Anolis sagrei: one gene and its partners. The protein of the gene in region 1 interacts with the protein of each later gene in a pairwise test. Links are inferred from orthologs where the notes say so. Each region holds a gene or a part of one and is shown in the gene's direction. Other genes may lie near its edges.

Region 1 (7,651 bases):
CTCTGGTTATAGGTGAACTACAACCCCCAAAACTGAAGGTCAATCTCTCCCAAATCCCTCCAGTAACCAAATTTGCGCATATCAGGTATGCATGCCAAGTTTGGTCCAGATAAATAGGCTTTTGGGTTCACAGTGCTGTCTGGATGGGAGTGAACTACAACTCTTATAAATCCACCTAAAGACAAACAGTATTTTTTTTTGTTTCTGTGTGCCAAGTTAGTTGCATATTCATTGTTTGTGGAGTTCTAAGTGCTCTTTGATTACAGATGAACTATAAATCCCAGTACCTACAACTCTTATAAATCAAGATAAATTATTTCCAAACCTCTCCAGTATTTTTCTTATGTCATGGGGGTTCTGTGTGGCAAATGTGGTCCAGGTCTATTGTCATTGGAGGTCACCGCACTCTGTCTTGATGCAGGGTGAACTTCAACTTCCATAATGTTGGGTCAGGCTCCCAAACCCCTCCAGTATGAGCAATTGCTGATCAATTCCTCTATGTTTGCTGTGTGCCATAGGAAAGAGCAGTAAAGGAGTATGGGAGATGCAGGGGGCAGGGTCATGCAAATTCCACACCAATGGAGAGAGAAAGAAACACTGGGATGCCTGTGGTGGAGGAAACACATAACATTTGGATGACATTGTCCCCTATGAAAGCCTTCACTTAGGTGGTGGGCAGTATTGTTTGTGGGGGACATTTGACATGTTCAATGGTGTTCACTATAACCTGCAATGAACATGAGGGTATTTGGTGTCTCCTGAGCAGTGGGAGCTATAGTTTTTTTGTGGAGGAAGGAGCTTGTCAGTGTTTCTCAACCTTCCAAATGCTGCGATCCGTTAATACAGTTCCTCACGTTGTGGTGACCCCGAACCATAAAAATATTTTCGTTGCTACTTCATAACTGTAATTTTGCTACTGTTATGAATCGTAATGTAAGTATCTGATATGCAGGATGCATTTTCATTCACTGAACCAAATGTAGCAAAAAATACCCTGATACACCCAAATTTGAATACTGGTGAGGTGGAGGGGGAGGGAGGGAGGTTATTGTATTTGTCATTTGGGAGTTGTAGTTGCTGGGATTTGAAGTACACCTACAATCAGAGACTATTCTGAACTCCACCAATGATGAAATTGAACCAAATTTGGCACACAGAACTCCCATGGCCAACAGAAAATACTGGAAGGGTTTGGCGGGCATTGACCTTGAGTTTTAGAGTTGTAGTTCACCTACACCCAGACAACACTGTGGACTCAAATAATGATAGATCTGGACCAAACTTGGCACAAATACTCAAAATACTCAATATGGCCAAATGTGAACACAGGTAGAGTTTGGGGAAAATAGACCTTGACATTTGAGAGTTGTAGTTGCTGGGATTTATAGTTCACCTGCAATCAGAGCATTTTGAACCCCTCCAAGGATAGAATTGGGCCAAACTTCCCCTATGACCAAGAGACAATACTGTGTTTTCTGATGTTCTTGGCAACCCCTCTGACAACCCCTTGTGACCCCCCCCCCCGGGGTCCTGACCCCCACATTGAGAAACGCTGGTGAAAGTGGACAGCCCAGCCATATACACACATACATATTTTCACTTTTATTATCTGTATTGATACTTAGGTGATCCCTCGTTGTCCGAGTAGGAGTCTTCTAAGGTCAGTGTACTGGTGGATTCGTGGGTGACTGTGGAGCCCTATTCTTGACCTGCATCTTCTTCCGCAGTGAGGGCATTGGATTCCAGGTGGAAGGCGGTCTCAGTTGGGATTGGCTTGACGTGCCTTCCTCTTGGCACATTTCTCTCTTTTGCCCTCCATTCGTGCCTCTTCAAATTCTACAGCACTGCTGGTCACAGCTAACCTCCAGCTGGAGCGCTCAAGGGCCAGGGCTTCCCAGTTCTCGGTGTCTATGCCAGAGTTTTTAAGGATGGCTTTGAGCCCGTCTTTCAATCTTTTTTCCTGTCCACCAACATTCTGTTTTCAGTTCTTGAGTTCGGAGTAGAGCAACTGCTTTGGGAGATGGTGGTCAGGCATCTGGACAATGTGGCTGGTCCAGCGGAGTTGATGGCATAGGACCACCGCTTCAATGCTGGTGGTCTTTGCTTCTTCCAGCACGTTGACACTTGTCCGCTTGTCTTCCCAAGAGATTTGCAGGATTTTCTGGAGGCAGTGCTGATGGAATCGTTCCAGGAGTTGCATGTGACGTCTGTAGACAGTCCACGTCTCGCAGGTGCATAGCAGGGTTGGGAGGACAATCTATATAAATAAAAATGTGATGTTCGTTTGTGGGATTAACAGAACTCAAAAAACACTGGAGGAATTGACACCAAATTTGGACACAAGACACCTAACAACCCAATGTATGTCCTTCACTCAAAAATATTGATTTTGTCATTTGGGAGTTGTAGTTGCTGGGATTTATAGTTTACTTACAATCAGAGAGCATTCAGAATGCTGGCATTGAACCAAACTTGGCCCACAGTTCTCCCATGACCAACAGAAAATACTGGAAGTGTTTGTTGGGCAGTGTCCTTTGGTTTTGGAGTTGTAGTTCACCTACATCCAGAGAGCGTTGTGGACTCAAATCAAATCAAATCATTTATTTCGGTCATTGACCAGCACAGGAAATAGTCACATTTTCATACAAACTTGGTATGTTTGGTACATTAAAAATATAAATATAACTACTGAAGCACAATATGGGTGAGGGAGCAGAAGGGAAGGGGAAACAGGGTAAAAACATACAATGCCCATATCCATCACCAAATTGTAGATTCAGAGAAGAAGATTACTGGACACACAGTTAACTTTTGGGGCTAGTCATTCCCTGGCGGATTTGGTATGCTGTTGCACAGAACTTTGCAACATTGTAGGTTGTAGCTGAATTAATATCTGCAAGTAGCATTTGTTTTTCATTCGTTCAGTCATCTCCGACTCTTCGTGACCCCATGGACCAGCCCACGCCAGAGCTCCCTGTCAGCCGTCACCACCCCCAGCTCCTTCAAGGTCAGTCCAGTCACTTCAAGGATGCCATCCATCCATCTTGCCCTTGGTCGACCCCTCTTCCTTTTGCCTTCCATTTTCCCCGACATAATTGTCTTTTCTAAGCTTTGCTGTCTCCTCATGATGTGGCCAAAGTACTTCAACTTTGTCTCTAGTATCCTTCCCTCCAATGAGCAGCCGGGCTTTATTTCCTGGAGGATGGACTGGTTGGATCTTCTCGCAGTCCAAGGCACTCTCAGCACTTTCCTCCAACACCACAGTTCAAAAGCATCGATCTTCCTTCGCTCAGCCTTCCCTAAGGTCCAGCTCTCACATCCGTAGGTGACTACAGGGAATACCATGGCTTTGACTAGGCGGATCTTTGTTGCCAGTGTGATGTCTCTGCTCTTTACTATTTTATCGAGACTGGACATTGCTCTCCTCCCAAGAAGTAAGCGTCTTCTGATTTCCTGGCTACAGTCTGCATCTGCAGTAATCTTTGCGCCTAGAAATACAAAGTCTGTCACGGCCTCCACATTTTCTCCCTCTATTTTCCAGTTGTCAATCATTCTTGTTGCCATAATCTTGGTTTTTTTGATGTTTAGCTGCAACCCGGCTTTTGCGCTTTCTTCTTTCACCTTGATGAGAAGGCTCCTCAGCTCCTCCTCGCTTTCGGCCATCAGAGTGGTGTCATCTGCATATCTGAGGTTGTTAATGTTTCTTCCAGCAATTTTCACCCCAGCTTTGCATTCATCAAGCCCCGCACATCGCATGATGTGTTCTGCATACAAGTTAAAAAGGTTGGGTGAGAGTATGCAGCCTTGCCGTACGCCCTTCCCAATCTTGAACCAGTCTGTTGTTCCGTGGTCAGTTCTTACTGTTGCGACTTGGTCCTTGTACAGATTCCTCAGGAGAGAGACAAGGTGGCTTGGGATGCCTATCCCACTAAGAACTTGCCACAATTTATTATGATCCACACAGTCAAAGGCTTTAGAATAGTCAATGAAGCAGAACATCTACTTCTGCAAGGAGCATGGAGGTATAAAATTGCTGTGGACTCAAACAATGATGGTTTTGGATCAAACTCTACATGAAGACTCAGTATGCCCAAATGTGAACACTGGTGGAGTTTGGGGAACATGGAATCTTGACATTTGGGAGTTGCAATTGCTGGGATTTGTAGTTCACCGACAATCACAGAGCATTCTGAACCCCACCAGTGATAGAATTGGGCCAAAACTCTCACACAGAACCCCCATGTGGGCCACAGCAACGCGTGGCAGGGGACGGCTAGTAGCTTTATAAACAAGCACCTTGGTATCCCTATCTGCTTCATTCGGGGAAAAAGCTGCACTCGCAGAGCTCAGGATAGATATATAATTTCATGAATGAATATGGATATGTGTGTGTGTGTGTGTGTGTGTGTGCTAGTTAATAAATATATAGGAGGAGCTTAGTTGAGGGTTCCTGTATGGGAAAGAGGCTGGACTAGATGGCCTTTGGGGGACCCCTTATAAGATTTCAATCTGTAAGCCTTGCAGAGAACAGCTGGGGCCTCCAGATTGAATGACTCTGGGGTATATATATATACATGTGTGTGTCTCTCCATAAAAGGTGTAGGTCCCATTGCTGACCATTGGGTGGCACCACTGAGCCAACCAAAGAGAAAGGGAAGAAGGGAGGAGAGAGGGGTGGAAACTCGGGAGAAAAGAAATGTGGTCGAGATGAAGCAGAGTTGGCAGAGGAAGCCAGAGGGTTTCTTTCCAAAAGGGATCCTGTCTCTGTATACTATACATAAGGGAAACGTAAGACCTTGAGGATCTCCTTCACAAAGTGGGTAAGCTTTGTTATAATTCCATATCTTTTGAGAGGGATTGTGGTTTGGCTGGAGCAGAGCAAGCGGCAGGAGGCATTGAGAGCCAGATCTGGTGTGCAAGCTAGATTTTCAGATACAGCTGTGTGTGTATGTGTATGCATGCCTATTAACAATCGTTTTGTCTTCCTTTCTGGGCTTGAAAGTGGCCCCATCCCCCTTGGAGAACAAATGGCTTTCCAAAGTCAAATTCCGGAGGAAATTTGAGCAGGATCCGGATCTGGACAGAAAGAAAAAAAAAGGAAGAAGGAAAGAAAGAAAAGAAAGAAAAGCTGGCAACGTGGAGGGAAGATCACAGCCTGGAAAAGATGGGGTGAGAGGATCATCTTTCTTTCTCAGATATTGATTGATGTTTTGTGGTCCTGATCAAGGCTGTAGGATTATCTTGATGGCTCATTTTGAGGTCCAAAAGTAAAGTAATGAATGGCTGGAGCCTGAAGTTTTGCAGTCCCAAAGAGGGAATGGGTCTCTTCTGAGATCTTCTAGTGTTTCCTTTGAGAAAGAAGAGCAACAATGGGGTGTGGCTGGTATAGACTTCCCATAAGGGAAGGAAAGATGGGATTTGTTCCTTTGTTGGGGTGACCTTCTCATGAAGGAACCCACAGCGATGTATTCACTAGGTCTCTAAGGGACCCCCAAAGAGCATCTCGTCCAGCCTCCTTTCCATGCAGGAACCCACAATGAACCCACTCCTCTGTATTTATTAATTAGGTTTCTAAGGGACTCCCAAAGGCCATCTAGTCCACCCTCCTTCCCATGCAGGAACCCACAATGAACCCACTCCTCTATATTTATGAATTAGGTCTCCAAGGGACTCCCAAAGACCATCTAGTCCAGCCTCCTTCCCATGCAGGAACCCACAGTAAAAGTATTCTTATATTTATTGTCTAGATCTCTAAGAGACCCCAAAGGCCATCTAGTCCAGGCTTCTTCCCATGCAGGAACACACAATAAACCTACTCCTCTATATTTATGAATTAGGTCTCTAACGGACTCCCAAGGGTCATCTAGTCCATCCTCCTTCCCATTCAGGAACCCACATTCTTATATTTATTATCTAGATCTCTAAGAGACCCCCAAAGAGCATCTAGTCCAGCCTCCTTCCCATGCAAGAACCCACAATGAACCCACTCTATATTTAATAATTAGGTATTTAAGGGACCCCCAAAGAGCATCTAGTGCAGCCTCCTTCCCATGCAGGAACCCACAATGAACCCACTCTATATTTATTAATTAGGTATCTGAGGGACCCCCAAAGCCCATCTAGTCTAGCCTCCTTCCCATGCAGGAACCCACATTCCTATATTTATTATCTAGATCTCTAAGAGACCCCAAAGGTCATCTAGTCCAGCCTTCTTCCCATGCAGGAACCCACAATGAACCCACTCCTCTATATTTATGAATTAGGTCTCTAACGGACTCCCAAGGGCCATCTAGTCCAGCCTCCTTCCCATTCAGGAACCCACATTCTTATATTTATTATCTAGATCCCTAAGAGACCCCCCAAAGAGCATCTAGTGCAGCCTCCTTCCCATGGAGGAACCCACAATGAACCCACTCTATATTTATTAATTAGGTATCTGAGGGACCCCCAAAGGCCATCTAGTCCAGCCTCCTTCCCATGCAGGAATCCACAATGAACCCACTCTATATTTATTAATTAGGTATCTAAAGGACCCCCAAAGCCCATCTAGTCCAGCCTTCTTCCCATGCAAGAACCCACAGAGAACCCACTCCTCTATATTTATTAATTAGGTCTCTAAGGGACACCCAAAGACCATCTAGTCCAGCCTCCTTCCCATACAGGAACCCACAATGCACCCGCTCCTCTGTGTTTATTAAGTGAGTCTCTAAGGAACCCCAAAGGCCATCTAGTCCAGCCTCTTTTCCATGTAGGAACCCACAACAAAACTCTGCCTCCTTTGTTGACTGTTAAGTAGTGGGATTGCTTTCCTTGGAGAGAAGTGGACTCTACTTCTTTGGTGGACTTGAAAGAGAGGTTGGATGAGCCTCTTTCAGGAGTGATTTAGTTGTGTCAGGCAGGTGAAGGTTGGACTGGATGGCCTTTGTGGTCTCTTGTGATTCTAAAATTCGATGATATGTATTTTTAACAGAGAATGGATGGAGGTTGGACTAGATGACCAACCTCCATCCATTCTCTAGGATTCTATGATTATATAGTCCCATTTCTCCACGAAACTTCAAATGTCTATGAGGTTGGATGGCCATCTGTTGGAAGAGATTGGATGGTGTCTTCCTGTCCGGCAGGATGGGGATGGACCAGATGGCCTTTGGAGGTCCCTTCCAATTCTAGGCAGGGAAAGAATAAGAACTTCTGCTTTAAAAGCCATTTGACAGAGGGCTGAGTCAGCAGGGCAGCGAGCCAGCGGCTTTTTTCCCAGGCTGCCTCTCAGCTAGAAAAGAGGCCTCTGAAAAGACAAACCAGATGTGTTTTTTGAAGAAATGGGAAGGGAGGTTTCCAAACTGCCCTGTGTTCAGAGATAAACTAAGATCTGGTGTGGTTTGAGCTTTGGAATACAACTCCAGAGACCTGGGTTTGAATCCCGTTCTCGGTCATAGAAACGCACTGGGTGACTTGCCCCACAAAGTACTTACAGTTAAGTCGGAACACAACAACAGCAGCAGGGACTGTAAAGAAATAGGACAGCAATACACAATCCCAACTTCAGTATTCAGCGATACACCTTTAGACTTGAGGATTCTTATTATTATTGTTATTATTATTGATCCCATCTTTGTTATTCAACAATACACCTTTAGACTTGAGGATTATT
Region 2 (7,996 bases), on another chromosome or scaffold:
CAGCGATGAAGATGGAAAATAAGTTTGGGGCAATCACACATCCCTGTTTTGACACCTTCCACAGTGAAAGGGTCACTTTGGGAGCCACTGCTGTCCAAGACTGTTGTCATCATGTCACCGAGGAGGAACTGCAGAATGTTCACAAATTTGTCAGGGCATCTAATTTTTTGGAGGATGGTCCAGAAAGCACTGTGATTCACTGTGTCAAATGCCTCTGCAAGGTCAATGAATGCCATGTACAGAGGTTGATTTTATTCCCTGCATTTTTATTGTTGTGAATATATGATCAGATGTCCATGCACACAACAATTGCTGTTCCCAGCACCCCTGTAACTTCCACACACCCACAAAATTACTCCAAATGTCATCTAGTTCCACCCTGTGTGGATTTGAGAGGCAAATTAGGATGGGAAAGTTTCCTGGAGACTGCAAGTAAAGCACAGAGATGCTATTTTTCTATCAGCATCTATCAGCATCTCAAGTGGATTTTGTCCCAGAGCTACTATTTAAGATATTGTTGTAAGTATAATATTTGATTATATTAATGTTGTCTTTATCCAACATCACACTTGCTACTTTGATAAACAATCCCACACACAAACATACACATATACACAACATCCCTCCCTGCTTCCATGGAGGGTTTCCAATCCCATCCAAAGCTGGTTTGGGGAGGATAATATGGGGGGCTACAGGGTGGAGGAAGAAAAGTCCTGTTTCCAGTTCCGCCAATAGGAGTAAGTCCTTCTATCTATAGAATCACCCAATTGGATCAGTATCACGATTTAATTGCTGATGAAGGGGCCCTTTCACACTATACAATTACATTATGATTCCCATGTACCACTGTGACTCATACAGGGTTGTTTTTTCCCCAAAGGTTATAAGCTGTCTTCAATGATACAACAACAACAACAACAACAACAACAACAACAACAACACACTTTATTTATATTCTGCCCTTTTCCTTTAGGGAACTCAGTGCAGATTACAGCATTTACATACATAGGCAAACATTCAATGCCTTTTACAATCATATACAATGAGACACACAAACATAAACAAAGGCAAAGGCTTCTCCTTTCATTTCCGGCTTCTGGAGGCAGTGCACATCTCTGGCTCTCGGGAGGTGATTTTCTCCATTTTCAAGCCAAGGAGCCTACGTTGACACTTCCTGATTGTGTGGCTGGCAAGATTGCTTGGAGTGTCTCTTTGCCTTTTCCCGCCGAAGCGGTACCTATTTATCTACTCACATTTGCATGTTTTCAAGCGGCTAGATTGGCAGGAGCTGGAGCTGACAGACAGAAGCTCACCCTGTTTCCTGGATTTAAACTGCCAACCTCCAGGTCAATAGTTCAACCAACCTTCAGGTCAGCAGTTCAGCAGCAAAAAGTGTTTAACCACCACATTGCGCCACCACTGCTCCATACACCACGACTCCATACAAATGCATGAGATAGAAATATTTTAATTTGGGATTGTAAATCACCTATTTGGATTATACTTTTGTCTCCCCTTCATAATGTTTTCTCTATGAAAGCTCTCAGAATTCATGGCCTGAGAGCTTTATTGCTTTGCAAAACTAAAAGTCCCAAGATTTCGTGGACTGCAGTTATGGTAGTTAAAGTACTATCAACTATGTAATGAAAAGGGCACTAAGTGAGAGATGGAAATCATGAAACCTATCACACAACAATCATAAGCAACACTCCAGCTGGAGGTCAGCTGTGACCAGCAGTGCTGCAGAATTTGAAGAGGCACGAATGGAGGGCGAAAGGGAGAAGCGTGCCAAGAGGAAGGTGCATCAAGCCAACTCCAACCGAGACCGCCTTCCACCTGGAAACCAATGCCCTCACTGCGGAAGAAGATGCAGAGCAAGAATAGGGCTCCACAGCCACATACGGACCCACAAGAATACTGGAAGACAATCATCCTCGGAAAATGAGGGATCGCCTAAGTAAGTAAGCAACACAGCAAATGGCAATGCCTCCTAGGAGATGTAATCCCACAATCTCTAGTAGTGCAACCATGGCCACCCCAACTGAACAGGCGTTAAGCATCTTGAAGGAAGAAAACGCAACAAAGATGATACGGTACTTTTTTGCCAGATTAACTAAATTGGAAGTACAGTGGAATCCTTTGAGACAGAAGAAGACTACAGCTGAAAGGCAACAGTGTGGCTTGATTGTCCTTGTGAATGACCAAAGACAGCTGGATAAAAAAAAACCAAAGATTGCTATGGTTTCTTTTGTCCTTATGGCAGAAATGTTGGGTCTATAACAGCTGCAGGGATGGGGTGCTGAAAGGCCCCACAGGTGAAGCTTACAAGCATTCTCCAGTCCTGTCCTAAAGAGCAAAGCTGCAGCTGTTTCATTTCTTTCTGCCATGCAGCTGTTAGGCACCGGGCAAAGACTGCAACTGTCTTGATAGGAATTACCTTCTTGGGTAGCACATGAATATCCATTTGTCAGTTTCAGTGGCACAGCATATTAATTTTTGTGGGTTTTTTTATTTCTAATTATTGATTTTTGAAAATGTTAAGATTTTGGCAATTTAGAAGGACTTAGATTTACTCAAGGAATTACACAATTTAGAGGGAAAAAGTCAGAATCTTGTTTAGCAGCTATGAATGCATAATCTAGGGTACATCCACATTGTAGAATTAATGCAGTTTGGTCCCACTTTAACAGACATAGCTCAATGCTATGGAATTATGGGAGTTGTAGTTTTACAAGGCCTGTAGACTTCTCTGCCAAAGAGAACCAAACTGCAACTCCCATGATTCCACAGCAGTTAAGGTGGTGTCAAACTGAATATATTCTAGCATAAGTGCACCCCTAGAGTGACATTTTTAGGATTCCTACATAGCCACTAGCTTAGGGGATATTTCCTCCTGTTGCTCACAAAGCAGCTGGCTGATGGGCCCATCCCTCTCATGCAACTGATCTTTCACATGGGGAGGCATGGTGTACTTCCATTATATTTAGAGGGTGCATCTGCACTTTAGAAGTAATGCAGTTTGACACCACAGGGCTCAGTACTGTGGAATCCTCCCAGGATTCCATAACATTGAACCACAGCAGTTAAAATGGTTTCAAACTGCATCCATTCTATAGGGAAGATGAACACATATTGATATGGGAGGTGACACCCCCCCCCCCAGGACTCTGTAAAATATGGGTTAGGTTTTGGATTAGGGTTAGGGGTAGGGTTATTGTTAGGGTTAGGATTAGAGTTATGGGTTAGGGCTAGTGTTTGGATTAGGGTTAGGGAAAAGGTTAGGTTCAGGGTTAGGGTTAGGGTTAAGGTTAAGGTTAGGGTAGAGTAAGAGTTAGGGTTAGGGCTAGGGCTAGGGTGAGAGTTAGGTTTAGGGCATGGGCAGCTCATCCATTACGCGAAGTAAGCGGTCGCAGAACACTTTTTTTGCCAGGGGTGCAGAGGCGCCTCTGTAAATGCCCCTCGACTGCCACTTGAGGAGCGCCCCCTCAGCTCACAACAACCCTAGCAGTCCGGGGAGAGCCTCAGCTTTCTTGCCTCGCTGCCAGGCGATCCTCTTCCCAAAGTGGCCGGGCTCTTGAGCCTCTCCTAGCCCCTCTCGTTCCTGCTCCACCTGGCCACCGGGTGCGCGAGCAGAGCCGGCGCTCAATCGTTCTCCATGTTCGATCCCTTCCCCATGACTGGCACTCTTTCCCGATCCCCTGGTGCTCCACCCGCCTCCTCTCCTCTCCCCAATCCGCGGGTGGGCCAAGGGGTGGAGCCGCCGCACCTGGCCCTCTTCGGGTCTGGAGGCGTGTCTGAAGACCCCAGCGTGCGCACCAAAAGTCACCTCTTCTCCTGACTTTCTCTTCAGCCATTGGGACCAAGAGAGAGAGAGAGACAGAGAGCCCCTCCAGCTGGAGGTATCTCCCACCTCCGCTCCCTCCTTTGTTTTTGCGCCTACCTTCAGGAAAGGTGGGCATCTCCACCTCTCTCTCTCTCTCTCTCTCTCTTGGCCCCAACGGCTGAGGAGAAAGTCAGGAGAAGAGGTGACTTTTGGTGCACACGCTGGGGTCTTCAGGCACGCCTCTGGACCAAAAGCGGGCCAGGCAAGGGAGCAAGTGCAGCAAGTGTAGTTACTGGGATGTATAGTTCACCTACAATCAAGGAGCATTCTGAACTCCACCAGTGATGGAATTGAACCAAATATGGCACACAGAACTCCCACGACGAAAAGAAAATATCTATCAATGATTGGCTGGGGGGGGGGGGGCAAAATACTGTTTGCTTACCATTGAAAATTACCTAGGGCCACCTCTGGTTTAGGGTTATTGTTAGTGTTAGGGTTAAGGGTAGAGTAAGGGTAAGGTTTAGAGTTAGGGTTAAGTTCAGGGTTAGGGTTAGGGTTAAGGTTAGGGTAGGGGTTTTTTGGTCACGTGTTCCGTTCTGCGTTGCGCAAACAGCGCCCCGAAGGTGTGAAGCATAAGCAGCATAACGCTCAGAGATTCCTTACTCAGCTATCATACTAATACCGTAGGATTTTCTGCCTTGATATTCTGAGTTATATGGTTGTGTGGAAGGGGCCCTGGGTCCACACTCAGATAATGTGGGATTTCCTGGGTTATAGGGCTGTGTGGAAGGGCTCTGGGTTATCAGAGTCCATACAATCATATATCCCAGTTCAGGGTAGGGTGTTATTCAGCTGTGTGGAAGGGTCCTGGGTGAGAGATTCCTTGAAAGTGCTGAAGGAATGTGCCGAGGAAACAAAGTTGTAAAGAAACTTTTACCATGTTTTTTGTAATACAGCCAATTAGGAAATGACATATATTTCTAACCCAGGAACACAGAGAATATGTAATCAGAGTCCCGTTGCGGGAGAGAGCGGGCCTGCTTTGGCGTGGCCCCTCCCTCTGTCTGTCTGTCTGTCCTTTCCCTTCCTTTCCCGGGTTGACCGGGCTGCGTCGCTGGCCGCGAGGAAGAGGAAGCGGCGGGGATTGGCGGGGCCAGGCCGGGGGTGGGGCCCGGGGCTGGCTCTCCTCCCTCCTTGCTTCGCCCCGAAGGACTGACAACGTCGGCAGCTTCACCCCATCGCCGCTGCCTTTGCCCTCTGCATCTGGACTGGGGCCCGCGCCCACCTCTGCATGGCTCCCGAGGAGGAAGAACGAGGAGGAGGAGGAGGAGGAGCAGGAGGAAGCGAGGGCCAGTAGAAGTTTCGGTGGGTAGCCTTCCTACTTTCTTTCTCAAGAGAACCACACCATCCCACGTTCGCCTGTGCGCCGAGGAGGGAAGCCAAGGAGCCCAGGCGTTTGGGAAGAGTCTCGTGGTGCCTTTGGCTTCTCCGCCCTCCTGGCTGCCCGGGATCCGCTCCTGGCGACCCATAACCGGTCGGGGAGGGAGGGAGAAGGAGAGAGGGAGGAGCCCAGCTCGCCATCGCCCTCTTCGGCCCCTGGTTCGGGTCGGGATCCCTGGCTGCGTTCCTTTGGGCGCTCTCCGAGAGAGAGAAAGGGCTGGGGCATCTACACCAGGCATGGGCGCACTTGGGCCCTCCCTCCTGGTGTTTTGGGCTTCAACTCCCACCATTCCTAACAGCCTGCCGGTCCAAAACACCTAGAGGGAGGGCCCAAGTTGACCCATGCCTGATCTACACTGGAATCAACGCAGTTTTGGTCCTACTTTAACTGTCATGGGTCCATGCTATGGCACCCTGGGAGCTGTAGTTGTCCAAAGTCTTGAGCCATCTCTGCCCAAGAGGAAACCCACAATTCCACAGCAATTCAAGAGCAAGGCACTGACCACCTACTACAATGCAACATCATCATCATCATCATCATCATCATCATTATTATTATTATTAGAAACACAACAAGATGAGTTCACAGCAGACACTCTTCTGGCTGTTGTATTGGATCACACGTCAGACACTTCTCAAGTGTCTAGGACTGTGTGATGTATTGGCGAATAATGCATGCAGATCCCAGTAGGGTGGCCTTTTGCAGATGGTAATCTTGTCAGCACCAATTGTGTTTAAGTGCAGGCCTAGTCTTTAGGCACTGCACCCGGTGTGCCAATCACCACTGGGACCACCTTGACTGGCTTGTGCCAGAGTCTTTGCAATTTGATCTTTAAATTCTCATATCATATCATGTCATTGTCATTATTATTATTATTATTATTATTGCTGACACAGGTAGAATAATATCACAATCCATCACCATTTCCGAATACATATCAAATATTGTTTTCATAGTGTTATCCTTACCTATTCCACCTTTATCCCCCACTTGTGTCTATTGATTTTACACCCCTTTCCTCCACCCCCCACCCCCACCCTTTGGGAGCAGTACTTGTCTTCATTCAAATATTAATTTAATTGAAGAATCATGTAAAGAGAATGGTTCAGCTCTTTATATCTTTCTTTTCCTTCGACTTTTTCTATCAGTCTTCCCCATCAGTCTTCTTGATTCGGCATGCTGTATATTTGGCTCTTCTTTCAGAGATGTAGTCCTGAAGCATAAAGTCTGCTAGGTAACCATACCATTTTTTAACTTCCCACTTTCTATGGTCTTTCCACCCCAAGGCCACAGTTGCTTGGGCAGCAACTATCATGTATTTTATCATCCCCCCCCCCCCCCCAATCTTTGATGTTTTTGTTCTTGTCTAATTTCTGGGTGAAAAATGCAACCTGAGCCCTGCCACATGCACAATGAGGGGCCTTCTTATATCAACACCAGAGGCACTCCAAGTGGCCAGCTTCTGGTAAAAGGACGTTTACTACAATGCCAAGTTGGCAAACTTTGTGTGTGTGTGTTTTAAAAATACAATACAGCTGTTTGGTTCGCTCCTGGCATGATAAATAAATAAGTGGGGGTCAAGCTGTATGAATAATCACAAACTGCAGTTGCCTCCGGAGATTGGGACTAGAGAGCAGGCCAGTTTACCATCCAGCCTCACTGCTTTGCTTTGCCTTTGGGGAGTGACAAGAGAGAGGGAGTTTGTTTTGAAAAGTAAGTGAGATGAAGCCCTTCCAAGATGAATGGTTTCCCCCTGACATTAAGTCTAGTTGTGTTGGACTCTGGGGGTTGTGCTCATCTCCATTTCTAAACCAAAGAGCTGATGTTGTCTGTAGACACCTCCAAGGTCATGTGGCCAGCATGATTGCATGGAGCACCATTTCCTTCCCACAGAAGCGGTACCTATTGATCTCACATTTGCATGTTTTCGAATTGATAAGTTGGCAGAAGCTGGGGCTAACAGCAGGAGCTCACCCAGCTCCCTGGATTCAAACTGCCAGCCTTTCAGTCAGCAAGTTCAGCAGCTCAACAGTTTAACCTGCTGCGCCACCGGGAACTCCATTACACATTTGTAATTCCAACCTTTTTATTATTCTGACTACTATTGTTTAGGTTACACTATGCAACGCAATTTTTTGTTCCTGGATTATAAGTGTCATTTCCTAATTAATTCTATCATTAAAACATGGAAAAGGAGTACTGTTCCATTATCAGGGCAGGCCATCTGTCGGGGGTGCTTTGAATGCGATTTTCCTGGTTCTTGGCAGGGGGTTGGACTGGATGGCCCATGAGGTCTCTTCCAACTCTAGGATTCCATGACTCTATGACTCCAAAAGGATAGTCCGTTGTATGGGAGGGGGAAGTTGAAGGAAAAAAAAACATGACCCCCGTTTTTGCTGGTTATTCCCCCTCTCCACTTCCCATTTCATAAACGAGGGTTGTTTCCAGAGTGGGAACATGGGTAGGGGAAATAACAGGAAAACAAGGGGAAGTGGTTTAACTCCCTAATCCCCCCCCCCCCCTTTAAATGGACTATCTTTCTCTCTCTAGCACCACCTTTTGGCCTTCATTCGGATAATGGAATAGTACCGTAAAAAGTTTATTAAACTGTAAAAACTTTGTTTTTGTGGGACACCCTGCAGCACATTTTGCTAGTTCATGAATATCTCATTGAGTCTCAACCAATTCAACATAGTTTGTGTCTGCCACAAAAATTAATTTTCTGGAGT
Region 3 (7,145 bases), on another chromosome or scaffold:
TTAAAAACAAACAAGATTTTATCAGGTGTCCAAGATGAAAGCCAGCTGAAAAGTTCGTATTCAGCGTTCTTTAGAAATCTGCTTTCAGTTCCCTCCCTAAAGTTTCTGGTCCTTATTAATCATCTTAATTTCAAAAGTCAGGGTGCATCTACAGCAGACATGGACAAGCTTTCTAACTTGGGGGCCACATGTTAGTACTCTTTGCTAGGATGACTGGCTGCCTGGTGATGGAAGGAAGAAAGAGAAGGAGAAAGGGAAGAAAGAAAGAAAGAAAGAAAGAAAGAAAGAAAGAAAGAAAGAAAGAAAGGGTGGAAGGAGAAAAGGAGAGAGGGAAAGAGGGAGGAAAGAAGGAAGGAAAGATAAAAGGGAAGGAGGAAGGAAAAAGAAAAAGGAAGGAAGGAAGGAAAGGGTAAAGTAAAGAGAGAAAGAAGGAAAGACAAAGAAGAAGGAAAGAAGGAGAAAAAGGGCAAGAGGAAGGAGAGAGGGAAGAAAGGAAGGACGAAAATGTGAAAGGGAAAGGTGGATGGATAGAAGGAAGGAAGGAAGGAAGGAAGGAAGGAAGGAAGGAAGGAAGGGAAAGAGAGAAGGATGAAAGGATGAAAGGGTGGAAGTAGAAGGAGGGAGAATTAGGAAGGGGAGGAAAGAGGCAAGAAAGGAAAGACAAAAGGGAAGGAAGGAGAAAGAAGGGGAGAGGGAGGAAAGAAGGAAGGAAGGGGTGGAAGGAGAAAAGGAGAGCGGGAAAGAGGGAGGAAAGAAGGAAGGAAAGATAAAAGGAAGAAGGAAAAAGAAGAAGGAAGGATGGATGGATGGATGGATGGATGGAAGGATGGATGGACGGACAGAAGGGAGGGAGGGAAGGATAAAGGAAAGAGAGTAAGAAGGGAAGACAAAGGGGAAGGAAAGAAGGAGAAAGAAGGAGAGAGGGAGGGAAGAGGAAAGGAAGGAAGGACAAAAATGTGAAAGGGAAGGATGGAAGGAAGGGAAGGAAAGAGAAAAGGATGGAAGCATGAAAGGGTGGAAGGAAATAGAAGGAGGGAGAAAGAGAGAAGGGAGGGAGGAAAGAGGGCGAAATGGTGAAAGGGAAGGAGAAAGAGGGAGGAAAGGAGGAAGGGAAGAGAGAAGGAAGGATGGGATGATGAGAGAGAGGAGGGCCTGAGAAAAGAGCCCAAGGGGCCGCATCTGTCCCTTGGGCCTGGCTTTACCTATACCTGATCTACATTGTTGAATTGATGCAGTTTGACACCACTTGAATTGTCATGGCTCAATGCTTTGGGATGCTGGGAATTGGAGTTTGGCGTGGTCTTTATCCTTCTCTGCCCAAGCATATCAGTCCCTCACCAAACACCAATCTCAGGTTTCCATAACATTGAGCTATGGCAGTTACAGTTGTATTAAAATGCATTAATTCTACCATGAAGACACGCCTCTGTTAGAAACTGTGTCAAATACCATTGCCATGTGGTTTGTACTAATGTGTGCACAGATGGATAAGAGTCTCTGACAGTGCCCATCTTAAATACCCCCATGTTTGAAAAAGTTACATTTTTGGAGTAATGGAAGTTCCTTTTATTGGACTCACGATGGCTATGCTGGCTTCTGGGGTGTATAATCCAAGTCAAAGAACATTTAATCAACTACCAAGCTTGCAAACTTTGTGTTTGTTTGTTTGTTTGTTTTTAATGCAATACAACTGTTTGGTTCACTCCTGGCACGATAAATAAATAGTCCAAGTATTCTTTTCCTAAGAAAATCCCATGAAATTCATAAATCAGCCATAAGTCAACAGAGGAATTTTTTGTAGTTGATTGTGATTCTGGAGACCAGGCTTCAAATTCATGCTCTGCTGTAGAAACCTACTTGGTTTATTTATTTGTCGTGTTAGGGCAACCAGTAAATTGTATTACATTTCTAACAGAACAAAACAAGCAAACAGACAAAGAACAACATTTGCAAACTTGATAGTTGATTAAATGTCCTTTGACCAGCATCTGGCCACTTGGAGTGCCTCTGGTGTTGCCGCAAGAAGGTCCTCCATTGTGCATGTGGCAGGGCTCAGGTTTCATTGCAGCAGATGGTCAGTGGTTTGCTCCTCTCCACACTCGCAGGTTGTGGATTCCACTTTGTAGCCCCATTTCCTAAGGTTGGCTCTGCATCTCGTGGTGCCAGAGCGCAGTCCGTTCAGTGCCTTCCAAGTCGCCCAGTCCTCTGTGTGCCCAGGGGGCAGTCTCTCATTTGGTATCAGCCATTGATTGAGGTTCTGGGTTTGAGCCTGCCAATTTTGGACTCTCGCTTGCTGAAGTGTTCCAGTGAGTGTCTCTGTAGATCTTAGAAAACTATTTCTAGATTTAAGTCATTGACGTGCTGGCTGATACCCAAACAGGGGATGAGTTGGAGATGTCTCTGCCTTGGTCCTTTCACTATTGGCTGCTACTTCCCGGCGGATGTCAGGTGGTGCAATACCGGCTAAGCAGTGTAATTTCTCCAGTGGTGTAGGGCGCAGACACCCTATGATAATGCGTCATGTCTCATTAAGAGCCACATCCACTGTTTTAGTGTGGTGAGATGTGTTCCACACTGGACATGCATACTCAGCAGCAGAGTAGCATAGCGCAAAGGCAGATGTCTTCACTGTGTCTGGTTGTGATCCCCAGGTTGTGCCAGTCAGCTTGCGTATGATATTGTTTCTAGCACCCACTTTTTGCTTGATGTTCAGGTAGTGCTTCTTGTAGGTCAGAGCATGGTCCAGAATGACTCCCAGGTATCTGGGTGTGCTGCAATGCTCCAGTGGGATTCCTTCCCAGGTAATAATCCTCAGAGTTCGGGATGCTTGTCTGTTCTTAAGGTGAAAAGCACATGTCTGTGTTTTAGATGGATTAGGGATCAGTTGGTTTTCCCTGTAGTAGGCAGTAAGAGCACCTAGAGCAGTGTTTCTCAACCTGGGGGTCGGGACCCCTGAAGGGGTCACGAAGGGGTGTCAGAGGGGTCACCAAAGACCATCGGAAAGCACAGTATTTTCTGATGGTCATGGGGATTCCATGTGGGAAGTTTGAGCAAATTCTATCATTGGTGGAGTTCAGAATGTTCTTTGATTGTAATGAACTATAAATCCCAGCAACTACAACTCCCAGAAGTCAAGGTCTATTTTCCCCCAACTCCACCAGTGTTCACATTTGCACATATTGAGTATTTGTGTCAAGTTTAGTCCAGATCCACCATTGCGTGAGTCCACAGTGCTCTCTGGATATAGGTGAACTACAACTCCCAAACTCAAGGTCAATACCTACCAAACCCTTCCAGTGTTTTCCGTTAGTCATGAGAGTTCTGTATGGCAAATTAGGTTCAAATTCATCGCTGGTGCAGTTCAGAATGCTCTTTGATTATAGGTGAACTATAAATCCCAGCAACTACAACTCCCAAATGACAAAATCAATCCTTCCCCAACCCCACTAGCATTTACATGTGGGTGCATTGGGTATTTGTGCCCAGTTTGGTCCAGTGAATGAAAATACATCTTGCATATCTGATATTTACATTATGGTTTATAACAATAGTAAAATGACTATTATGAAGTAGCAACAAAAACCATGTTATGGTTGGGGGTCACCACAACATGAGGGACTGTATTAAGGGGTCACGGCATTAGGAAGGTTGAGAACCACTGACCTAGAGTTTCGGAGAGCTTCTGTTCAATCATCTCAAAGCTCCCTGCTTGAGTAGTAATGGCATGATCATCTGCATAGACTTGGTGAGTCACACTCTCTGGATGTGTCTCACCAAGGAAACCCTGTGATGGGATCACTTTAGGGTTGCCTTAAGTCCGAACAACTTGAAGGCACGCAACAGCATAATTTCTTCAAGCCATTGCAGGAAAAGAAGAGCAAACTTTTCCAAATTCTCTCCAATGTGGGTAGTTTCTCTTGACCCACTCCACACAAAACCATAAACATGCCTGGTTAGGCCTCTGACTCCGCTTCCCCTTTAAGCCACCCCGATGCTGGAATGTGAGAGAGCCCCATCCATTCCCCCGTGAGGTCAGATAAGACACTATATTTATCTGGCTTGTAACCTGAGCTGTGAATTTCTGCCTATGCTGCTGACACATGCCTTGGGAGTTCATTCTGTGCCGCAGACGTTGCCCTGCGAGGGAGAGGAGAATCCTCTGAGTCTGCAAACAAGTGAGTCCTTTTGGGCTCTTGTGAATCATTTCTATTTTCCTAATAGAAAAAGCCGCTTGCTGAGACCGAACGGAGCACCTGCCGTTGATCCGGAGCGCCATCCATATGCCACGATTCCTCCCTGGGCCTGTCGTTCGGCACACAGGTGGGTACCATCAACACTGAGGCTGAAGGGTCCATCCAGAGCTTGTCTACACTGTCAAATTAGTGCAGTTTGATACCAGTTTAACTGCAATGGGATACTAGGAGATATCGTTTAGAGAAGCACCAACCCTCTTTGGTGGAGAAGGCTAAAGATGATATGATATGAAACAACTCCCAGAATCCCAAGGGAAGTAACAAAGATAAGTGTGGTCATCCCTCTGAGCATGTGCCAAATGCTCATCCAATGCGGCCATCCATCCACAAGCATTTTTGGGATGGAGGCAAAGGTGGTTTTAGGCCAGTCTGAAGTTTTATCTCCATCCTCAATGGGATTATATTGAATAATAATAATAATAATAATAATAATAATAATAATAATATATCACACAGTCCTAGACGCTTGGGAAGTGTTCGACTTATGATTTTGCGATACGAAATCCAGCATATAGATCTCGTTTGCTGTGACATACTGTGGTGTCAGTAAAATAATAATAATAATAATAATAATAATAATAACAACAACAACAACAACAACAACAACAACAACAACAACAACATGATATGAGGATTTACTGGCACAAGTCAGTAAAGGTGGTCCCAGTGGTGATCGGCACACTGGGTGCAGTGCCTAAATACCTTGGCCTGCACTTAAACACAATCAGTGCTAATAAAATTACTATCTGCCAGCTTCAAAAGGCCACCTTACTGGGATCTGCACACATTATTTGCCGATACATGACACAGTCCTAGACACTTGGGAAGTGTCCGATGTGTGATTCAATGCAACAGCCAGCAGAGTGATCTTGTTTGCTGTGGATTCATCTTGTTGGGTTTCTAATAATAACAATAATAATAATAATAATAATAATAATAATAATAATAATAATAGAGTTGGAAGAGACCTTGTGGACCATCTAGTCCAACCCCATTCCACCAAGAAGTAGGAAAATCGCATTCAAAGCACCCCAACAGATGGCCACCCAGCCTCTGCTTAAAAGCCTCCACCACACTCCAGGGCAGAAAGTTCCACTACTGAACAGCTCTCACAGTCAGGAAGTTCTTCCTCATGTTCAGGTGGAATCCTCTCTCTTTCCTGTAGTTTGAAGCCACTGTTCCACCTCCTAGTCTTGAGGGCAGCAGAAAGGAACCTTGCTCCCTCCTCTCTATGACTTCCTCTCACATCTTGATCCCTGGCCCTCATCATGTCTTTTCTCAGCCTTCTCTTCTGCAGGCTAAACATGCCCAGCTCTTTAAACTGCTCCTCATAGGGCTTGTTCTCCAGACCCTTGATCATTTAGTCACCCTCCTCTGGACACATTCCAGCTTAGAGTCAACATTTCCCTTCAATGGTGGTGCCCAGAATTGGACAGTGTGATTCCAGGTGTGGTCTGACCAAGGCAGAATAGAGCATGGGGAGCATAACTTCCTTGGAATTTGGCACTAGGCTCCTACTGATGCAGGCCAAAATCCCACTGGCTTTTTTAGCTGCCGCATGACATTGTTGACTCATGTTTAACTTGTTGTCCATGAGGACTCCAAGATCTTTTCCACACGTCCTGCTGTCGAGCCAGGCATTGTCCCCCATTCTGTCTCTTTGCATTTCATTTTTTCTGCCTAAGTGGAGTATCTTGCATTTGTCCCTGCTGAACTTCATTTTGCTAGTTTTGCCCAATCATCTCTCTAATCTGTTACATATCTGTAATAGTAGTAGTAATAATAATAATAATAATAATAATAATAATAATAATAATATTACCTGCCTCTATTCTCCGTAACTGTCATGGCAGGAGCCCCCGGTGGCACAATGGGTTAAACCCTTGTGCCAGCAAGACTGAAGACCAACAGGTCGCAGGTTTGAATTTGGGGAGAGCATGGATGAGCTCCCTCTGTCAGCTCCAGCTCCCTATGCAGGGACATGAGAGAAGCCTCCCACAAGGATGGTAAGACATCAAAACATCCAGGTGTCCCCTGGGCAACGTCCTTGGAGACGGCCAATTCTCTCACACCAGAAGCGACTTGCAGTTTCTCAAGTTGCTCCTGACATGGAAAAAAATCCCAGATTATTTGGCAGTGAGGATTTATATAATCCAGGATGGTGAAACATCAAAACATCCGGGCATCCCCTGGGCAAAGTCCTTGCAGACAGCCAGTTCTCTCACACCAGAAGTAACTTGCAGTTTATCAAGTCGCTCCTGACATAGAAAAAAAACTGTCATGGCTTCTCCCAGAGGATTGTGGGAATTACAAAGGGTTCCATTACAGAATCAGAACCCAACACACACACATACACACACACTAACCTGAAGCAACAGTTCCCAGTTGCCTTGGGAGAATGGGGATGAGAGGTAAGCCAGTTCCTTCAACCATATGCCAAAATTCATTGCTGGCATGCTGTACTGTTCTACATGAAACCCATTTACATTTTATATAGACCTAATAGTTTTAGATCGATAGATCGATAGATCGATAGACGGATAGATAGATAGATAGATAGATAGATAGATAGATAGATAGACTCATGAAGCCACGTTTGTGTAATGTATTGTCGAAGGTTTTCATGGCTGGAATCACTGGGTTGTTGTAGGTTTTTCGGGCTATATGGCCATGTTCTAGAAGCATTCTCTCCTGACATTTCGCCTGCATCTATGGCAACCATCCTTAGAGGTTGTGAGGTCTCACAACCTCTGAAGATGCCTCACAACCTCTGATGATTCTTGCCATAGATGCAGGCGAAACATCAGGAGAGAATGCTTCTAGAACATGGCCATATAGCCCGAAAAGTCTACAACAACTCACGTTTGTATACATTGAACCATCGGAAAGCAA
Region 4 (7,657 bases), on another chromosome or scaffold:
GGAAAAAAAATAGATCAATCGATCCATTAGAGTGGGAGACATATACACAATGCAGATGTGACTAAATGAGATGTTCCAGGCTCAAAATCTAGACCTCAGCCCTGAGTCCCCAAAACAGTTTCCTAGTTATTGAATGAAATGCTCCAGATTTGTTTAGGTCTGCTTGTCTTCTGCACTCAACTCATTGATTCTTGGGCTGACCTACTAGTCATCTATGGGTTCACTGAAAGGTTATTTTATACTCACCCCAATAAGCCCCTTTGTTCAATTGACAACTCCAGGGATATATGAAACAAAAATAAGGAACAGTGACCTGAGCCGAGAAAGATTGTATTTCCTTCAGCAAAAAATATTTACTGTCAATCTCTAGATCAGGCATCCTCAAACTGTTCAAGCCTGCAACTCCCAGAATTCCTGACAATTGAACAAGCTTGTTAGGGCTTCTGGGAGTTGGAGGCCCAAACAGCTGGAGGGTCACAGTTTGAAGATGCTTGCTCTACATGGTGTAGTGCAGGCATCTTCAAACTGTGGCTCTCCAGCTGTTTGGGCCAACTTCCAGAAGCTTTAGCCAGCTGGTTCAATTGTCATGATGTTTGAGAGTTGGAGGTCTAAACAACTGGAGGACCATAGTTTGAGGATACTTGGTGTAGTGTCTTCAACTTTGGGCTCTGACCCTTTCTACACAGGGGGATAAAATTCCACATTTTCTGCTTTGAACTGGGAGCCCTTCCACACAGCCCTATGTACCAGAATATCAACACAAGAAATCCCACATTATCCAAGTTTGGACTCAGATTACCCAGTTCAAAGCCGATATTGTGGGGTTTCCTGCCTTGATATTCTGGGTTATATGGCTGTGTGGAAGGGCCCTCTGACTCTGGAAACCAGGGCCCTTCCACACAGTCCTATATTCCAGAATATCAAGGCAGAAAATCCCACAATATCGGCTTTGAACTGGGTTATCTGAGTCTATACTGACATATATCCCACTTCAAAGCAGATAATGTGGGATTTTATTCAGCTGTGTGGAAGGGGTCCCAGTGGATGATCTTGGGTGAGTCACACTCTCTTAGTCCTCCAAAACTGTATTGTCAAAGGTTTTCATGGCTGGAATCACTGGGTTGTTGTAGGTTTTTCGGGCTATATGGCTATGTTCTAGAAGCATTCTCTCCTGACATTTCGCCTGCATCTGTGGCAAGCATCCTCAGAGGTTGTGAGGTTTACTTTCTTGATAGGTTTGCTTTAGGGTCACCATAATTCAAAAATGATTTGAAGGCACACAACAATAACAATCTCTATGCAACTAGGCCCAGGGGTAAGGTTCTATATTTGAAGGACAAGGGAATGACTCATGTGAACATTAACCTTGATCCTTCCCCCAACCCACACCTTCCTTTCTGGATATATTTACAAAAAGTTATGATCAGGTACATCAAGGTTAAATTCAAGTTGCATTTCTGTGTAGTCTTTCAGTAGGAATTAGTCTCCTAAAGGTACTTAGTGGCTTAACATGAGCAGAACTGGATGGATGTTAAGAGGGCAGTGTGCATTCCCCATGCACACTCGGTTCCTAATATCAGTGCTTGTGAACAACCTGTGGCCACCCCATGGGCATCTAATGGGTCACAAGGATATTGGACTGCAGAAGTATGTGCTGTGCTCCCATTGGCTCTTTTTATCATCTTGTACCTTTGGAAGCTGTCTCTGCCTTTTCAGCAAATTAACAGCTTTAGCGCCTCAGCTGTAATTCAAAGAAATCCTTGACAGGCATTCTTCTTATGCATTGTTGATTATATTTATGTCATTGTGTTTATACTTATGCAGGCCTGTAGTGAGGGGGTGGTTTTAGGGGTTCAAACCCCCCCCCGAAATGTTTCAGATTTTTTTAAAAAAACTGGTTTACTCATGAATTTTAACTGGTTAACCAAATCCCCATGCTAAGTCTATGAGATGCAAAAAATTAAGAGTCCCTCCAGAGCTGTAAGCACTATCTCAAGCAAATATTGACAATTTATTCACACTGTCATTACTTGCAGCAATAGCGATGTAGTGAAGCAACCAAGTGGTGTGTGTGTGTGTTGAATGCTCTCATTAAGGAGGCCAGACTTGGTGGAGGTGGTTGACAGGGGTGGAGCTGCAGGCTATTGAAGGTTGCTCTGCCCCCTGCTGTGCGCTTTGCTTTAGCGTGAGCTAGGAGGCAGGTTTCAACCCCCCCCCCAAATTTTCAACCCTCCCCGAAATTCCCCCCCCCCCCCCGAAATTTTCAAACCCCCCCCCCCCGAAATTGTCAACCCTCCCCGAAATTTTTTTCTGGCTACGGCCCTGTACTTATGTATGGTTGTCTGCATGTGGCACTTGGAGTGCTTCTGTGAGCCGTCCCGGGTTCCTTTGGGGAGATGGTGGCAGGGTGCAATTATTATTATTATTATTATTATTATTATTATTATTATTATTTGAAACACAACAAGATGAGTCCACAGCAGACACTCTGCTGGCTGTTGTATTGGATCACACATCGGACACTTCCCAAGTGTCTAGGACTGTGTGATGTATTGGTGAATGATGCGTGCAGATCCCAGTAAGGTGGACTTCTGTAGCTGGCAGGTGGTAATTTTGTCAGTGCCGATTGTGTTTAAGAGCAGGCCAAGGTCTTTAGGCACTGCACCCGGTGTGCCGATCACCACTGGGACCACCTTGACTGGCTTGTGCCAGAGTCTTTGCATTGTTTATTATTATTATTATTATTATTATTATTATTTTAATGGCAAATAGGAAATGCACTGTCAAATATGTGCATCATAAAGTAATTTATTTCACAAGGGCCTTAGTTTAGAAACTTTGTTAGATCCTGGGCAGGAGAGCTGGTTTTGCCAACTTCTGGGTTATGCTGACAACTATTGCTACTTCAATTATATGGATTTTACAGAACATGAGGAAATTAATTCAACATTGCTTGGTTGGTTCGGGTGATTTTGCATTTACCTTCCTCAAAAGAGGGTTAAATAAAGGCACCAAATTCTCTCTGAACTTGGAAACTAAACAGGTTTTAGCAAAAATGGATGGGAGGCTGCCAATTAATACCAGGAACTGTAGCAATATTTCAGAGGAAGTAATTGGCAAGACCTGAGTTTTAGTCCCCAGGTCAGTTTCCTTAATTTTCAGGGTTTAGGCCCTTGGTCAGTTCCCTTAAATTTTAAGGAAACTAAAAACCTGTAGTAGTTTCATAATTCCAATATCATGGGAACCACTGTTGGTGCAGAAGTGAGGAACCTTGGTAGGGCTGAATTTCTGCCTGGAACTAATGATAGGGATTCTTCCAACCAATACCTTGGAAAGGGCTAAATGTAAAGGTCAGTGCAAAATTGAGTTGGTGCTTCAAGATAGAAGTATAGCTGGCCTGACTTCTGCTTTCTCTGTATGTGCCAAGGAAGATGGAAGCAGACTTAGATAGTGGCACAAAACAGAGACAGAAACTACAATTTGCGTTGTTCGTCTCTTACTTTCCCTGAGTAGCTTCAAGGTTCTTTTGTTTTTTTCTCTCCTAATGGGACAGGAGACATATGGGTCCATGGGTTGGGCAGCTTGGGCATAATGGTTTGATGGATCAGATACAATGTAGTAGTATTGAGCTCATCCTTGGTTTTCTATGTTGACTAGCAATGTGTGCTCTGAACTAGTATCAAAGGAAAGATAAATTCCCAGAATCCCCAAGCAAGGATGCTATGAACTATAAACTAAAATATGCTGTCCCAAACGCTGAGGACCCTTCTACACTGCCAGATAATTCAGGTTATCAAAGGAGAAAATACACATTATCTGATTTAAACTGGATTATCTTTGGCCCCTTCCACACAGCTATACAAAAATCCACGTTATCTTCTTTGGACTGGGTTATATGGCAGTGGGGAAAACGGAATGTTGGCGGACAGGAAAAGTGATTTAAAGATGGGCTCAAAGCTAACCTTAAAAACCATAGACACTGAGAACTGGGAAGCCCTGGCCCTTGAGCGCTCCAGCTGGAGGTCAGCTGTGACCAGCAGTGCTGCAGAATTTGAAGAGGCACGAATGGAGGGTGAAAGAGAAAAACGTGCTAAGAGGAAGGCGCGTCAAGCCACCCCTGACCGAGACCGCTTTTCACCTGGAAACCAATGCCCTCACTGTAGGAGAAGATGCAGATCAAAAATAGGACTCCACAGTCACCTACGGACCCACCAGAATACTGATCCTGGAAGACTATCCTACTCGGGCAAGGTGGGATTGCGTAAGTAAGTAAGTAAGTAAGTATGTAAGTAAGTAAGTAATGGAAGTGGGGACTCAGATAACCCAGTTCAAAGCAGATATTGTGGATTATCTGCCTTGATATCTGGGTTATATGGCTGTATGGAAGAGCCCTTAGTCTACACTGCTATATAATCCAGTTCAAAGCAGATAATCTGGATGTTACATTGCTATGAAGAAGGGGCCTGAGTTAAGTTACACATGTTCACCTGGCTCACTTAGCAATAAAAGTCAGCATTGCTGCAATCAGTTAAGCAAACAAAGTTCTATAAATAATAGTTTCCTCTCTTGACAGTCCCTCTCCCCTCCCTGCACCATCTCCCTCAACATTTCCTCAGTTATTTCTCGTCATTTATTGTTGCTCACTCAAGCCGAAGAAAGTTTTCTTATCTTGTATGCTAAGCGTGGAGGTACTTGTCACTCCAGGAATGAAAGAGGATGTCCACACAGTTTCCATGTGTACTTGGAGGACAGCAATAAATCTCAGGGTGTCAGCAAGAAGACCGAGGGGTGGGATGGGCTCTGCCACAGGAGGCGTCGACTCAAGTATAAAAGAGGTCCCAGCCAGACAGTGTCACCATGAGTTGTGTGAAACTGAGATCGGATCTTGGGTGAAGTTGCCACACCGCACGCTGTCAGGAGGAAGTGTGGAGACCAGACTGATGACAGCATGTCCTCCGAATTGCAGCAGCTGATACAGGCATCCATCCCTTGTGCAAGGGGGGTCCTGAAGGAAAACTACAGCAACCTGCTCAAAGTGGCTGATTACTGTGAGAGCAACTATGGGCAGGTGAGTCACAGCTGGGTAGGATTCTGAGATGGCACTTGCCATAGAAGTGGGGCTGGCTCTACCATTGGGTAGAAACAACTAGTTCAGGTGGCAGGTCTTGGAGCTGCTGCCCATAATCCCTTCTTAGTCTGATTTATCCCTTTTGATGGAGGACTGCACTATTTTACAGCTATTGGAGACTTGAGTTACCTTTTGGACTGTAATTCCTAGAATTTCCAGAAAAATTGAGATTCCAGGGTTTGTAGTCAAGAAGTAATTTGGAGTGTCATAAACTAGCCTGTTGCTCCCAGTTGTGGTAGAAAGTGTTATCCCCTTGTTGTTACTGAAGGAAGAGTTTGCCTTCAATTACCTTCTGTATGTAGAATAGGGAGATGGTATCATCTTCACTTTGTCCATTGCCTCAGACAGAAGAATGTCTAGGGAAGGCATGGGCAAACTTTGGCCCTCCAGGTATTTTGGACTTTACTTCCCACAATTCCTAACAACCTACTGTTAGGAATTGTGGGAGTTGAAGTCCAAAATACCTCGCAAACTGAAGTTTGCCCATCCTTACCCTAGAGTTAGCTATAAAAAGCAGCACTCTAAGTCATGCTTGAACAGAAGTGTGGAAAGATAGTTTCCTAGGTTGCTGAGGGTATTGCCAGCTCCTGATGTGAATGGGATGGATGGCACAGGAATTATCTCCAAAGCTGTTGAAACACCTTTTATTTATATAGGAAGCTGGCTGCTGCAGGAGCTAGGGACTAGCAACCTCTGGGATGATGTAGGAAGCGGAGGGATGAATATTTCATTTATGCAGAGATTCTAGCCAACCAACACTCCTGCCTGGAAAGCCAGAAAATCATCTAACCAAGGGATGGGAGGGGGATCAGTTTTACAGTACCAAAGCCTCTTTACATGTCCTAAAAACCCCGAATCTGTGCTCCAGCTGAAACTTTGGGGTGATTTTGGATTGATTTTTTTTCAAACTCTAAATGTCCCCAACAGGCAAAAAAAAAAGTTGTTATTCAGCAATTTGATTTCCCCACTCCCATGCCATCTTTGGATCAAAAGCAACAGCAAGAATATCCCTGTAGGTAGCAAAAACTGGTAGTACTAACTGGATGGCCCCCCACAAGGGTCTTCCCCAAGAATGGGCAATTTGGAAGTCCCTGAACAGACTCCGAAGCGGAGTTGGCAGATCGAAAGACAACTTGGCAAAATGGCACTACCTAAAAGAATCCTCCCCCTTGTGTGACTGTGGAGCAGAACAAACAACTCAGCATCTGTATGCTTGTCCACAATGCCCTGCCTCATGCAATGAGGAAGAATTGTTTAAAGCTACAGACAATGCAGCCGCTGTTGCCCGTTTTTGGTCTAAAACTATCTAGCAACTTGTGAGCCCTTTATTTTATCAGTTTTAAATAAACTATTTTATGCAATGTTTTTGAAACAAAATAATATTTTGTATCAAGATGCAGATGAAAAATGATTGCCAGATATGCCATGACCTCATTTCAATGCACTTCAATGACCCATTGGGAAGTCTCTATGAAGGGTGTAAATTATTCCATGCCATCTATGCAGTTGCTCAGTTCCGCCTAATACAGTACAAGAGTAGGGAACGTTGTTTTAGACTAAGGAGTAAGTTTCAGTTTCTTGGAAGGTCATTGGAGGATACTTTCTAGAGATAAGCAAATTATAGGCAACTTTCATTTTAATTTTCATTGGGTTTTGTGAAGATTTCAACAAAAAGTAAATCCCAGTGTTTTGGGGATAACCTATAAACTTCCCCAGGTTTGTAGCATCACACGGGCAAAGGTAGGTAAAAGCAAAGGTTTCCTCTGACATAAAGTCTAGTTGTGTCCGACTCTGGGGGGAGGTGCTCATTTCCATTTCTAAGCCGAAGAGCTGGTGTTGTCCGTAGATGCCTCCAAGGTCATGTGGCTAGCATGACTGCATGGAGCGCTGTTATCTTCCTGCAGAAGCAGTACCTATTGATCTACTCACATTTGCATGTTTTCGAACTGCTAGGTTGGCAGAAGCTGGGGCTAACAACAGGAGCTCACCCCAGATTCAAACCACTGACCTTTTGGTCAGCAAGTTCAGCAGCTCAGTGGTTTAACCCACTGCATCACTGGAGGCTCCACACAGACAAAACCATACTTAAAGTTCTGTTCCTATAGCAAAAGTCACATCTGAGAAGCCACTACCAGACATTTCAGGGCCCTTCCAGATAGGCCCTATATCCCAGGATGTGATCCCAGGTTTTATGCTTTAAACTGGATTATAAGAGTCCGCACTGCCAGGTAATCTGGGATAAACAGAAAACCTGGGATCAGATCCTGGGATATAGGGCCTGTCTGGAAGGGCCCTTAGTATCTCTCTAAGTTTCCCTTTTTCTTCTTCCTCTTCCTTTCCCTCTTCCTCTGAAATAATTTAGGCACAAGACAAACGGAAAGCCCTTGAGGAAACGATGGGTTTTGCCACTCAATCATTAGCCAGCGTGGCCTACCAAATCAGCAACCTGGCCAGCGACATCCTCAAAATGCTGGACTTGCAGGCGGCTGAAATCCGGCAAGTGGAAGCCAATGTCTGCTCCATCACACA

Evidence for each region.
Region 2: the proteins of HOMER3 (region 1) and WIPF1 interact in binary tests that used the Homo sapiens proteins (3 or more experiments, as listed by UniProt). The two-hybrid records come from large-scale screens. The link is inferred for Anolis sagrei from reciprocal best matches to the Homo sapiens genes HOMER3 and WIPF1.
Region 3: the proteins of HOMER3 (region 1) and USP2 interact in binary tests that used the Homo sapiens proteins (3 or more experiments, as listed by UniProt). The two-hybrid records come from large-scale screens. The link is inferred for Anolis sagrei from reciprocal best matches to the Homo sapiens genes HOMER3 and USP2.
Region 4: the proteins of HOMER3 (region 1) and ABI3 interact in binary tests that used the Homo sapiens proteins (3 or more experiments, as listed by UniProt). The two-hybrid records come from large-scale screens. The link is inferred for Anolis sagrei from reciprocal best matches to the Homo sapiens genes HOMER3 and ABI3.

Annotation. Positions count from the first base shown.
Region 1 is NC_090034.1:52,222,103-52,229,753, reverse strand, and holds the start of HOMER3 (homer protein homolog 3), read left to right. Parts: upstream 1-4,635; 5' UTR 4,636-4,820; intron 4,821-5,002; 5' UTR 5,003-5,164; coding exon of another isoform or gene 5,165-5,169; intron 5,170-7,651. UniProt on the Homo sapiens protein: Postsynaptic density scaffolding protein. Binds and cross-links cytoplasmic regions of GRM1, GRM5, ITPR1, DNM3, RYR1, RYR2, SHANK1 and SHANK3.
Region 2 is NC_090021.1:192,111,615-192,119,610, forward strand, and holds the start of WIPF1 (WAS/WASL-interacting protein family member 1), read left to right. Parts: upstream 1-4,989; 5' UTR 4,990-5,191; intron 5,192-7,996. UniProt on the Homo sapiens protein: Plays a role in the reorganization of the actin cytoskeleton. Contributes with NCK1 and GRB2 in the recruitment and activation of WASL.
Region 3 is NC_090027.1:39,100,805-39,107,949, forward strand, and holds the start of USP2 (ubiquitin carboxyl-terminal hydrolase 2), read left to right. Parts: upstream 1-4,130; 5' UTR 4,131-4,320; intron 4,321-7,145. UniProt on the Homo sapiens protein: Hydrolase that deubiquitinates polyubiquitinated target proteins such as MDM2, MDM4 and CCND1. Isoform 1 and isoform 4 possess both ubiquitin-specific peptidase and isopeptidase activities.
Region 4 is NC_090026.1:32,484,448-32,492,104, reverse strand, and holds the start of ABI3 (ABI gene family member 3), read left to right. Parts: upstream 1-4,637; 5' UTR 4,638-4,948; coding exon 4,949-5,068; intron 5,069-7,490; coding exon 7,491-7,657. UniProt on the Homo sapiens protein: May inhibit tumor metastasis. In vitro, reduces cell motility.